Regions from separate parts of the Mus musculus genome. Here all the other regions are reported to be linked to region 4. The links are microRNA targets in miRTarBase. Many come from high-throughput screens and were not tested one by one. Region 4 holds a microRNA gene; each other region holds the end of a gene's coding sequence.

Evidence for each region. Region 4 holds the annotated microRNA mmu-miR-3089-5p (UGAGUUCAGGGACAGCGUGUCU, at 1,531-1,552, shown strand). A microRNA usually pairs through its seed, bases 2 to 8, with sites in the 3' UTR of a target mRNA and lowers its output. Matches are read on the target gene's strand: a 7mer-m8 pairs with bases 2 to 8, a 7mer-A1 pairs with bases 2 to 7 and ends in A, and an 8mer does both.
Region 1: miRTarBase lists Gje1 as a target of mmu-miR-3089-5p. Seed matches in the 3' UTR shown: 7mer-A1 at 2,269-2,275 and 7mer-A1 at 2,240-2,246.
Region 2: miRTarBase lists Spg21 as a target of mmu-miR-3089-5p. Seed matches in the 3' UTR shown: 8mer at 1,882-1,889.
Region 3: miRTarBase lists Slc8b1 as a target of mmu-miR-3089-5p. Seed matches in the 3' UTR shown: 7mer-A1 at 981-987 and 8mer at 1,009-1,016.

The regions. Positions count from the first base shown.
Region 1 is chr10:14,713,860-14,717,037 of GRCm38, forward strand. Gje1 (gap junction protein, epsilon 1) reads right to left here. Exons shown (of 3, transcript NM_029722.2): 3 at 1,767-2,955. The coding sequence ends at 2,560. The region is part of intron 1 of 1700016L04Rik (RIKEN cDNA 1700016L04 gene); the gene reads left to right. Among named protein-coding and RNA genes, the nearest start is that of Gje1, 2.8 kb to the right of the region's middle.
Region 2 is chr9:65,486,375-65,489,552 of GRCm38, reverse strand. It overlaps Spg21 (SPG21, maspardin), which reads right to left. Exons shown (of 9, transcript NM_138584.2): 9 at 1,083-2,720. The coding sequence ends at 2,604. Ankdd1a (ankyrin repeat and death domain containing 1A) reads left to right here. Exons shown (of 15, transcript NM_001370871.1): 15 at 461-1,082. The coding sequence ends at 552. Among named protein-coding and RNA genes, the nearest start is that of Spg21, 27 kb to the right of the region's middle.
Region 3 is chr5:120,532,793-120,535,970 of GRCm38, forward strand. Slc8b1 (solute carrier family 8 (sodium/lithium/calcium exchanger), member B1) reads left to right here. Exons shown (of 16, transcript NM_133221.2): 16 at 68-1,232. The coding sequence ends at 265. It overlaps Tpcn1 (two pore channel 1), which reads right to left. Exons shown (of 28, transcript NM_145853.2): 28 at 1,365-3,178. Among named protein-coding and RNA genes, the nearest start is that of Slc8b1, 23 kb to the left of the region's middle.
Region 4 is chr2:30,719,692-30,722,869 of GRCm38, forward strand. It overlaps Mir3089 (microRNA 3089), which reads left to right and starts at 1,519; the gene lies at 1,519-1,602. It overlaps Gm14488 (a long non-coding RNA gene), which reads right to left and starts at 1,496. Exons shown (of 4, transcript XR_866106.3): 1 at 282-1,496; 2 at 15-179. It overlaps Gm39782 (a long non-coding RNA gene), which reads right to left. Exons shown (of 3, transcript XR_866107.2): 3 at 1,872-3,022.

The DNA.
Region 1 (3,178 bases), not on the chromosome of region 4:
AACAGTAAAAGGGGAAATTTTTCTCTTGCTGAAATCATGAGGAAAATTTTTCATTCTTTCAATATTATGTGGTGTTTCCAAAGATTCATTCATGTATGTGTATATGTATTTGTGTGTGTATATGTATATATGTAATCAAATTTAGGTAATTTTCATATTAAGTGAAAAGTTTGATTTTGTTTATTTTATCAGGAATGACTGTTATATATAATCAAATTCTTTCATTGGCATCTGCTAAGACGGCTATGTGGTTTCTTCTTTATTCTTTTAACACAGGTCAAGCACATCAATTCCCTTTGAGTGTTTATAAAATGTCTCTAATTTCCAGGATAAACCCAACCTGTTTAATTTGTACATACATAGCTGGCTTACATTTGCTTATTTTTTGCTGGGAATTTTGACACCAAAATTATGATACAAAATTAAGCTGCTCTAATTAAATAAAATAAAAATATTTTCCAATCATCCCAGCACAATCATGCTTAAGAAGCTAGGAGGCTCCTTTTTCTTTCTTCCTAAAGAGATGTTGCAGTGTTCGCTCTTCTTCAGACATCTGACGATTTCCACCAGAGGCCGTCTGGATGTGGAATTTTCCTTATGGAAGGGACTTGAATTTGAATTTTTAAAATAGACTTAAGTATATTTGTAATTTTATGTATTTTATCAGTTTCTCCTGTCTAAGTAATATGGGTTTCAAAGACTTTCTTCATCTCACTAAACTTACTGTTAATTAGTCAACTACTCTTATAATCACGTTGGTGTCTATCACTTTTTGTTTATTATAAGGCTGATTTGTTTTCCTTCATCATCTAAAACTGTGTAACTGAAAACTTAATAGTTTTAGCAAGATTCTTTTAACCCGTTTTCTCCTAACTTTCATCTTTCTATGTTTTGTGTGTTTAGTTTCATCCTTATCTTACTTAATCTTTTTAGCTAGTTGTTTTGATAATTTCTTAAAGTGAGAAGATAAATATATTTATAATTTTTAGTGACATAATATAGAATTTTTATAGGCTTCCAAACACTGTTTTAATTCTTTAAACAAATTCCAGTAAATTCTGTTTTCAGTATCATTTGGTTATTGTACATTTTAATTTCTGATGCTTTGTCTTCATTATTCCATGGATTATTATAAATTTATCAGTGATTTTCTGAAATATTTAGACACTTACTAAATACCTTATTTTTATTTTATTTACAGTTTACTTTCATTATGACAGGTCACTACTCTCTAGATGTATCATTGGACAATAGAATGTGACCTCCTCTGTTTACCAATTTTTGCCTTTAAATTTGACCTAGCAATGTAGTACACATTAAATAATAGGTCCTCCGTAGCTATTTGTTCAGTGAAACAAAGTTGGATTTGCTTCTGTGCTTCTATGTATAGCTATATCAATGGTTTTTAAAATCCTAATACAGAATTTTTAATATCAAGTATAAGCTAAACAGTGCTTAATAAAAATTCCAAAATTTCAGTATCTGACTCTGTGTGGCTCCCTACCAAAGTGCTGGCCAGCATAAAGCATTAGGACATACAGGATTTTAAATGACACGTGCTGAGGATGGTTGTTGATAATACAGGCAATAGAAAGAAGTACTCTGATATTCTGCAAAGTTTCCTATGGCATGATGCCAAAACTGTTGAGGAATTATAGTTTCATGGAAACAAAATTTCCATTTCAGTACTTTTTAATATGAAAGTTAATTGTTGCAGAGGATGTATGGAAACAACAAAAACCAAGGAAGCCATACACAGTGTTATTCATAACAACTCTAATTTATTCGGCAACTATCTCCATAATCATTTAATATTGATTCCAGCAAAACAATATGGGTTTTAATATTTAAAAATTCAATTGCTTGCCTTCTTTGAGTTAGTGATTAAATTATATGACTTTTAATTAATTTATATTTTGTGTTTAAAGGTATATTTTACACAAATGCAAAGATAATTATGTCTTTGGAGTTAAAGACACATGTTTCAGTGTGTAGGGAAAGAGGTAAATTCTGGTTTGGTTGTGTGACATGGCACATAAATATCATCTCTGAACATCAAATTTCCAGTCTTTAATCTACATAAGAAGTCTCTTTGGCCAAAAATAAGGTGATCACTTAAAGTATTGTACATGAGAGAAGCCTGTACATTTAGTATTTTAAAAAATGAGCTATCGCCAGTTGGTGGTGGTGGTGCACGCCTTTAATCCCAGCACTCAGGAGGCAGAGGCAGGCGGATTTCTGAGTTCGAGACCAGCCTGGTCTACAGAGTGAGTTCCAGGACAGCCAGGGCTATACAGAGAAACCCTGTCTCGGGAAAAAAAAAAAAGAGCTATCATTAGGCTTACATGTACATTATTACATAATAAGTTATACCATTACAATAGGAGGAAATATTTGCTCAAAAACACCTAGTTTAGAACTTGGTATCCTATTTTCTAGTATACATAAATTATAGACACACTAAAGTTTAAAGAACATTTGGAATTGAAATACTTGATGGGAAAATTAAGTATAAATGACTGATAGGAACTATGGTATGGTAATAGGCTATCAACCCGGTCATCGTTTAAAGAGAAAACATGATCTTCTAAATATGATCTCAAAAACCTCAGCAACACATAATACCATCGTGATCACAGTAAATGTGTACATTGCAATGAGGAAAATAGTCTTTTCAAAGTGCTCTGGAACCATGCATTTTAGAATATTTGGTTTTTTACCAAGAGATTCAGTATCACACAAGTATATCGGCTTCACTTGGAAGCCGAAGAGGTGAATCTGAAGCCAGAATGCGAACACCTCCAGGCTGATTCTTAACAAGACCGAGAGGACGTAAATCACAGTGTACACGGGCTTCTGAAGAATGCAGTCTTGATTGATGCTTTTGCATGCAGCATACAGGTGGAAAATAGCTCCAGGAAGCAGGACAATCACTAGCTGCAATGCCCAGAACACCTAGAGCATACCAGAACTATTTTAGTCAAATCAAATAAGCAAAAACCAAAGACACGTGGAGAATTTACAAATTCATCAAGGGCTAATTTAAAAATTGTACATTTTTGCAAATACCTAATAAAAATGAAATATGATGAATAAATATACTGGTGCTGACATATGATTTTAGAACTTTAAACATAATGGCGGTTGGAAATCATATTTTATTATCACTGGTATCTGC
Region 2 (3,178 bases), not on the chromosome of region 4:
CCTGGGTCTGTGGACAGCACCCTCCACTCCCCTCTGCATCACGCTGCCAGCTCCCATCCACACATTTGCAGTTGGTGTGTGTCCATGACTCTGCTAGGCAGGACCTAATAAGCCATCTAATGCGGTGGAGTGCTTATAGGGTTGCGCAGATGGGAATATGCATGTGTTTCAGACTTCCAATGCAGTCCAAATTCAGAAGGTAGGTTCCCTCTCAAGATGGCTGCTGGTTACTGCACAGTGAGGTCTTTGGGAGTTACGTGAATTCCTTTTCCAAAGCCGGGTCACTGCTGACTTTGGAGCTCCTATATATTAAGGCTATCAGTCTTCAAGGTCCAGGAAACTGCAATAGCAAGCTCTTTGTCCCTTTCTGTGTAGTATGTGTGTGTATGTGCAGGGGTAGAGGGGAAGGCTGGGGATTCAGCCAGATGGTAGATGGTACTTTCTCTTGGTGTTGTTGCAGATCTCTGGTGTTCGGAGAACCCCACTAAGCTCCTGATGAATCAATCCCATGGTCACCTGCAGTCAGTTACTTACTTCAGTATACAGCTGTAAACCTGTTGCTTTGAAGCAGCCATCTTCCTGCCAAGAGTCTTGGTTTCTATTTAAGGAGGGGGGGGGCGGTGTTCCTTATGGATCTGGAACTCACAGTGTGGACCAGGCTGGCCTCATGGTCACAGACACCTTCCTGCTTCTGCTGTGCTAACGATTAAAGGTATGCACTACCATGCCAGCTTATTTAGAATTTACTATGTGTGTATGACCATGGGCATGTACATGTGTCAGCACACACATGCAAGGCAGAGGACAATGTGTAGACATGGTTCTCTTCTTCCACTGTGGTTTCTGGGGGTTGAAGACAGGTTATCAGGCTGGTGTGACAAGGGCTTTTACCTGCTGAACCATCTTGCTGGCCCAAGATTTTTGTTTTTTATGGTTATAGTTAAGATATTAATTTTTTCTAGCTTTATGTCAATAATTTCCCATAAGTGTTAATTTTTTCAAAATGTTAATTATAGCTTTCTATATGTGTGTATATTGTATAAATTTTCTACTATGTGAACTGAATAAAACCCCTTACATATACAGATATTTCAACCTTTATTATCAAATAACCTCTTTGTTACTGTATAGATACCTGTATACAGATGGGTGTATATATCTGTGTATGTGTGGGCAGATGCCAGAGAATGGATGCCCTGCAGCTAGTGTTGAGGTTACAGGCTGTGTGGATACTCTTGACACTGTGCACGGGCACTGGGCTATCTGAGGTTACAGGCTATGTGGACACTCTTGACACTGTGCACGGGCACTGGGCTATCTGAGGTTACAGGCTGCCTGGACACTCTTGACACTGTGCACGGGCACTGGGCTATCTGAGGTTACAGGCTGCCTGGACACTCTTGACACTGTGCACGAGCACTGGGCTATCTGAGGTTACAGGCTGCCTAGACACTCTTGACTCTGTGCACGGGCACTGGGCTATCTGAGGTTACAGGCTGCCTGGACACTCTTGACACTGTGCACGGGCACTGGGCGGTCTCAAGTGCTCATGCTCGTCCAGCACGCACTTTTACTCACAGACTCATCTCCCCAGCGTCTCAAGTATCCTATCATATCTCTTGAAAGGACACATGGAAATGCTTTATAGCCATCCAGGATAGGAAGGGATGTAGAAAAGTGCGGGAGGGAGACAAGGCTATCCACAGGCTGGACGTTTTCTACATTGGATCAAGAGCTGGAGACAGTTTACTATGTTCTCCATATGTATTAAAACCACTTCTATCGGGCATCTGGTGATCTTTCAGGATAACATCTGTAATCCTAGCACTTGGGAGGTGGAGGCAGGGGGATCAGGAGCTCTAAGCTAGCCCTGACACATAATGAGTTCAAGGCCAGCCTAGCCTAAATGAGACTCTATCTCTTTTTTAACAATCCCATTAGTGAAAAAGATTAAAAGAGCACGTAGGCTACAGCGGCAGTCAGCAGGTAACAGCCAGCCGTGCTGCAGTCAGAGTGATGGACTTGTTCACCCGACATCACACAGCACTGGCCAGTAGCCCAGAGGGGCAGCCTCACTCATCACAGAAGCCACTGGCTGAAATTCAATTTTTATTCCAAATGTAATGTCTAGAAATACAACAGCTAATACTCAAAATGATGTGCTCAACTGGAAAGCAAAAAAGCTGATGTGTAGGGAGTGGCCAGCAGGCTGCCAGCCTCGACCCTCTGGTTATGCCCAAGAAAGCATAAAAATGACCGGTGCTCCTCTTCTAACCTGGAGGTGGGTGCAGCAGTTATAGAAAGCAGGAAAAGAGAGAACGCCACATGATCCCAAGCTTTTGAGATGAACAGAGTGGAGAAGACTTTTGGTAGCAAAATTTTCACAATTCTTAAAATGGGAGTCTTTAAAAGTTCTTCAAATTTAAAAGTTTAAAACAAAAACAAATGTGGAGAGGGGCCAGTCACACTGGTTTAGAAGAGCTGACGCCTGTCATGAGATTGACAATCAGTCCGACTTCCAGAAGGGTGAGGACCAGTGTGCCCGACCAACGAACCCGAACTGATTGTGCAAGAGCAGGGTGGTTCGGCATCTCAAGCCCCATCTATGGCTCTTCCTGGCTGAGGCCGAGGCGGCCTTTCTGCACCTCTAGCTCCTCCGCACTGACCACTGACGGATCGATGGCAGCGTACTTGGTTCCATGGAACTGCAGCAGATGTATCTGGAAGAGTGCAGATTACTTTAGCTGTTGTGAGGGTTTTGTTTTATGCTGCTGGGATTGAAGCGAGGGCTTCGCAGTGCTATACAAAGGCTCCACCAATGGGCGACCCCTATCTCTAGTCCTGAATCTTTCTGAGATTATGTGGAGGGCAGAGAGCAACATCAGTGTCACTCTTTAGGGGGCCCCTGTCCCCCTTTTTAAAAATTTACTTATTTAGGTACTTTATGTATGAGTGCTGTTTTCTTGTTCACCAGAACAGGGCACCATGTGGTTGCTGGGAATTGAACTCAGGACCTCTTAAGAACAACCAGTATTCTGAGCTGCTGAGTCATCTTTCTAGCCCCTGAGGGCTCCTTTAAGAAATTACAATTTACTTTGTATATGTGTGGAAGTCAGAGAAACTGTGGGAGATGACTGTCTCTTCCTCTGTATTTTTCTGGCACTGAACTGGGTAGTCG
Region 3 (3,178 bases), not on the chromosome of region 4:
CTTCATGGTGCACATGGCCCAGAAGGCTCCCAGGGTGGGGACTAAACAACTCCTGTTCTCCCCACAGCTGGAGCCAGACGGATTACTGGTGTGGGTGCTGGCCAGTGCCCTGGGCCTCAGCTTGATCTTCTCCCTGGTCTCCGTGCCGCTTCAGTGTTTCCAGCTCAGCAAGGCTTACGGCCTCTGCCTCCTCCTCTTCTACATCTGTTTCCTTGTTGTGGTCCTGCTCACAGAGTTTGGGGTGATTCACCTGAAGAAGGCGTGACTGAAGCTGCTTGGCCTAGAGGTGTGGGGGCGATTCTGCTAGCCTCCTGAGGGGGAGGTGTGGGGAGGGGGACCCTCTGTGGTCCCCGTGGATCTCCTGAGAAGATAGTCACTGGCAGAGCTCTGCATGGGTGAGAAGGTCCTGACTGCCGGCACCTAACAGCCTTAGTGTGGGGATCTGGAGGCTGGCTTTGCTGGGGACAATCCCGGGTAGGAATGATGGGATCTAAATGACACCGGAGGCTCTGGGGGGAGGGCAGCCTTTCAGTCAGCCCCCATGCCTGCTGGGCTCTGGGCAGCCCTGCAGTTCCCTCTCTGGCTCTTCCACTCTCTGTGGGGTCCTGCGTACCTACAGGGTGGCCTGAAAACAGACTCCACACGTGGAAACAAGACTGGGTTTCTCAGCTTCCGTGTCAAGTCAGCCAGAGGAAAGAGGTCGAGTTGACAGCAGCAGGCACTGCCCTTCCTAGTTGGTGGCTGCCATGTTGGACTGTGGATCTAAACACTTCTAGAGCTTTGTGGTCCAAACTCTGGCTCTCCCGTCTGCAAAACAGGAGCCAGCCTGGGCTCTGTGCCTACCTCAAGGGGAGCTGGGGGTTGGGGGGACTGACCCTCCCCAGGGAGGTCTTACAAGTAGTGTGACCAGTCTTTTGTTTGTTTGTTTGGTTGGTTGTTTTTTGGAGACAGGGTTTCTCTGTGTAGCCCTGGCTGTCCTGGAACTCACTCTGTAGACCAGGCTGGCCTTGAACTCAGAAATCTGCCTGCCTTTGCCTCCCAAGTGCTGGGACTAAAGGTGTGTGCCACCACTGTCCAGCTTGTGACCAGCCTTTTAAAAGTGCCACTCACTCCCTGACTGCCTTCAGCTGTAATTAAGAGACTTGACTGTTGGGGTTTTTTTTTTGTTTGTTTGTTTTTTGTTTTTGTTTTTTGTTGTTTCCAAAAATAAAAGATGAGTTATTTCACACGTACCAGAAGAGTCCCACAGGGTCTCGTCAGTTCTTTGACTGGGCAGGTGACCTTAAGGCTGGATGGTGGGAACATGTGGGGTCAGTAGTGGCCCACCCACTAACAAGCTGGAAATCAAAGGCTGCAGCCGGGTCTATAAAGCAGAGGCTCTTTTATTGGCACACCAGAAATCTGGGCACAGTGCGTTCCTAGGTAACAAATCACTGTATAAAACCTTCCGACGACGTGGCTCTTAACCCATACAAAATGATTGTCTGCACGGTGTGGAGTAAGGCTGGGGTGGAGGGGGTGGAGAAGCGAGAGGGAGGGGCCGGACACTGTTCCCACAGAGTGCCCTATCCCCACTCGGGAGAAGCAGCGTGGTGGTTCCCACAGAGTGCCCTATCCCCACTCGGGAGAAGCAGCGTGGTGGTTCCGTAGCTGCCCCTGCTAGGCTGTGACACGGAGCCACTAGTTCTCACTCTGCTGAATGGAGGGAAGGGGCATCTAGCTTAGACAGGGATCCCAGGGGTCTCAGCTTACAGCCCTGGGCGACACAGTCTGTTCCCTGCCTGGCTAGCAAGTTTGAGGGTCAGCTTGGTGTGTGCTCAAAGGTGACTCTGTGGGGCTACAGTTTGGCCTGAGGGCCCTGTCTTGCTCAGGCACCTGGCTGGTATGTGCTAGACCCAGGGGTTTTAGTACCTCTACATGGGGCCCAAGACCAGTCCCTTCCACCTGAGCCTGCTCCCCTAGGCTGAGGGTACCTGGGGTAGAGGAAGGGGCCTAGAACCAGGCAGTTGCTCAGAGCCTCCCCCCCCCCACCGCCCTCTTTATAGGCCTCCCCTCTTTCTGCTTCCAAAATGCCCCTCACACACAAAGAAGCTAAGGCAACCGGCTATGGAAATGAAACTGCTTCTCAGGGTTGGGAACTGGAGTCCAAGTGGAGGCCAAGAGCTCTTTGAAGTGGAAGGGACTTGGCCAGTCTCCTGACTCTCTGTGGAAACCAGAGGTTTTTCCTGGGGGATAGTGTATGTATTGGGGGGGGGGGGGCAACTGTGCTTTATTTAAAGTAAAAACATCCGCTTTCCAGCTTGACCCCTGGTTCTGCGGCTGGGAGAACAGGAGGGGGGGGCTGTGCCTGCCCACTCCAACTCCCAAGCAACAGCAGGTTTGGAAGGCCAGGTTAGCCTGGAGGGAGTGCGCAGGGGTGGGGGGGTGGGGGTGCTAGGCAACTTCGGGCCCTGCCCACCTTCAGCCCCTTGTGGACAACACAGCAGGGCTCCATCGCTCTGCCACCATATACTATGGTGGCCTCAAAAGAACTCCCACAAGTCACCTGACCTGACTCGCCACCCCTACCCACCTAGCTTATGAGAATCTTGGAGGAGGCAGTGTGAAAGTGTGGTTGGTGAGGGGGGCTGCCTTCAGCACCAGTTCAAATGAACTCCCCTGAGCAAGTCAAATTCCCAGGGCCTCTGGTTGGCTTTCTCCTGCATGGAGGGATCCTGCCGGGGGTGGGGGTGGGGGTTCCCGGGGGTGGGGGTGGGGGAGTTGTGGTAGGGTTCCAGCAACAAGAAAGGACTGGGAGCCTGAGAGAGTAAGCTCTTCTGTCTCCCTCAAGGGAACCTTCTAACACTTTTGTCATTGATAGATGTCATCCTGCAGGGTGTGGGGTTTCTTCCTAGTGGTTTTGATCCTCATACCAGACACAGACACCTGTGTTGGCTGGGGTTCAGGTAGGGACGAAGCTGGAGGCCGCAGTAGGGAGGCGGTCAAGCTCCCCCCATCCCTCCCCGGGGAAAGCCGGCATTGCTGAGACGAGATAGCCTATTTAAGGGGCTTCTTGAGCAGAGGGCTTCCAGAGTTTTCCATGGTAGGACGAGAGCTCCGCCAGGCCTGGGCCTCCAGCCTAAGCTGGTTATTTCTGGAGCTCAGGAAGACAGAGCGAGGTGGCTGGAACGGACCCTGG
Region 4 (3,178 bases):
CCTGCTGGACCTACCATCCTCCTGTCCTTGTGGACTGGCCTAGTTGCATGGGGGCTTGAGGGAGGAACTGGGCACAAGGCAGTTCCAGCTCCTGGGAGTGCTCTCAGGTCAGTGGGCAGCACAATGGCACAGCCTTGTTCTGGCCTTCACGGTGACTCCTGGGAGTCTGCATGGAGGCCCTGGGAAAGAGGACAAAGAGGTTGCCTTGGTGCTTGGGCCGAGAGGGATTCACTTACGGGGGGGGGGGGGGGGGGGGTGTGGGCCCAAGTCACTTCTCCTACCTCTAGGTGGTGTCAGGCTGGGAAGGCACCTCAGAAGCAGGAGCTGGGTTCACAGAGTGAGACAAGCCAGAGACAGCTGGCCCACAGGGCTCGCAGGCGTGGCGAGCCATAAAAAATGCATTGGGTGCCCCCAAGAAGGCTGAAATATCAGGGACTTAGGCAGACTGGCTGTGTGTGTGATCTCAGCAGGGGTCAGAAGTGTCCTAGAGAAGGGTGCATGAGGATCTACTGGGATGACTAACTCAACTAATGCGAAGCCAGGGAAGACAGGACTGGCAGTCTTCAGGCCTCAGATCCAAGTGGTCTATCAATTCCTGCCTCTGGAAGGTTTGGCAGGCTTTTATGGAGCAGAGAGAACAGGTCTCCAAAGCTCCCAGAGGCTAGGAACTGGGGGCTGAACTCAAGCTTGGTTTGTGCCATGGTGGAAGACCAGCCTAGTGCAGATGCGGGAGGAATCAGAAAGCTGTCTGGGCTGGCTATGTGACAGGGAGGGCTGGTGCTGTTCAGGAGGCAGGGGACAACTCACAGGAGCAGGCTGGCAGCTTCGCATATTTGAGGGTCTGGTAGAGATGGCTCAGAGCGCCAGGTGAAAGGAAGACCCAGTGGGGAGGGCTGAGGGAGCTGCAGTGGCATTGCAGAATATGCTAGAATCCTGGTGGACCGGCTGATCCCGGTGGGTCTGCAGTATAGGCAGGGGAATCAGGTTTGTTATGGTAATGGTGCAGAGGGAGAGAGGAGGGTTCTGTTCCTATAATTGAGTACTGGGAGACACAGCAGACAAGACAGTGTGTGGCCAGCAGGGCTGAGCCTCGGGCAGGCCAGGCCGATGCCTGGAGCCTGGGAAGGTCCTGGGGACAGATCAAGAGGCCTCGGGTGTGATGTAAGGGCAGGTATGCATGTTTCTTGCTCTGAGGGCCTTGTCTCTAATTGAGAAGGATTGAGAGGGACCCAGCTACCCCTACCCAGTCACTCTGGAGCCCTGACCAGCTTCAGGCCTTTCCCCAGCAGTAGGTTGGGACTGCTCATTACCTCCACAGGATGTAGAAGGTGCCCACCCACCAAGTCACTCCCCACCCGGCCCCCAACCCCAACTGCTGGCAAGAGGAGAGCAGAGTTGAGCACACAGTAGGTCCTTTCCATGAGCCTAAGCTAGTGGGTAGAGTTAGAGCTACAGACTGGGCTGAGAGCAGAGCCCCTGCCCAGATGCCCTGGAACAGGGAGATAAGGGGAACAGCTGGTGGCTTGCAACTGAGTTCAGGGACAGCGTGTCTCAGTTTCTCTGTCTGAGCATCTGCTGATCCTGAGCTGTGTTTTTAGCTGCAGAAACCCAGGGCCTTGAGGCTCCACCCCTACACTCTGAGCACCACTGCTGCCAACGCCAAGGGGGTCTCGGGAATGGCAACTGAGAGGAGGGGGAAGGTTCTAGGACACATATGGAATCCAAAGTGCTCATCTTCCAGCTCTGAAGGGCCTGCCACGGCTAATAACAGTCTTCCAGCCAGGCAGTGATGGCACACACCTTTAATCCCAGCACTCAAGAGGCAGAGGCAGGAGGGTCTCTATGAGTTCAAGGTCAGCCTGGTTTACAGAGTTAGTTCCAAGACAGCCAGGGCTGCACAGAGAAACCCTGTCCTGGCGGGGGAGGGTGGGCTTCCCATCAAAGCTATGCTGGCCCTGCCCTCTCACCTCCTCCCAAGGGTGAGAAGAATAAGGCCCAGATCTAAAGGACAGACCTGAAGCCACCCCACGGCTGACTGTGTTCTCTGAGCCCCCACCCCTAACCCTATCTACAAAGTGCCTGGCTCCTTGGAAGCAGAGGAGGGTAGGTGTCAGGCTGTCATTCCGTGACCCAAGGCTCCCCATCAGTATGACAAGGGTGTAGGCTAGAGCCCTCTAAAGTGGACAAGACCCAGACTTCCCAGCATCCACTCTGAGAAGCCTAGCTCAGAAGAGTTGGCCAGGGCCCCAGAGCTGCACCTCCTGCTCTGTCCCCATCAGGCATCTCTGAGCTGTGAGGAGCTGTCCCCTCAACAGTGCCTGTGGAACACAAAGAGGGGGGGAGCCCAAGCAGAGAAAGAGCCGCGGGCTGCAGGCGGGCAGGCAGGCTCAGAGCGGCTCTGCTCCGCTTTCTTCTTCCTCCCTCTCTCTTTGTTAAGCTCCTTTTCAGCTGCACAGGCAGAGCCTGGGTGTTCCGAGCTGACAATAATTGCTGCGTCTAGACAGTGTCTGGTAGGAGGCCTCCTTCTCTGTGCCTGCCGGCCTCCCCGAGGCTCCCAGGCCTGGCCCACAGCCCCTGCCCGGCACCCTCAGAGGGTTCCCACACCCCTGCCTCTCTGTGGATGCCATGCCCACCCCCCACCCCCCAGTCTTTCTGCCTCCTAATTCAGTTGGGAGTACAGCTCTGTCCTCCTACCCTTGGGTCCAAAGGCACCCCAGTCTGTTCTATTTTGTGGCCTAAAGTTCAGAAACAAGACACTGTCCAAGAAGCACTGGTAATGCCAGAGGCCTCTGAAGGAGCCAGAGCTCAGCGTAAGGCAGGTGGCTGTGCTGCATAGGCCAGGGAAGCTGCCTTGCTGGGTGAGCTAAGCCTGGACCCTCAGGGTTCAATTCTAAAATTTGATCTAGGTTCTTCTAGAGTTTTCCAACCCAAAGCCCAACAAAAAGACACAGGAATCAGTGTAAGGAAGACCAAGCATTTCCCAGACCACTTTAGGCTGATGGGGATCCGTGTTTTCAGGAGGCTGGGGAAGGAGAACAAGAAACAAACATTAGGAGTTCTGAGATCTGTGCTCAACTCAGCCCTGAAGCTCTGGAAAATTCCCCAGAGTCTCCTAGAGGGTGTTGGGGCAGGCACTCAGGGTGCCACAGACAGCAACAATAACAACCAGAATCTGCTC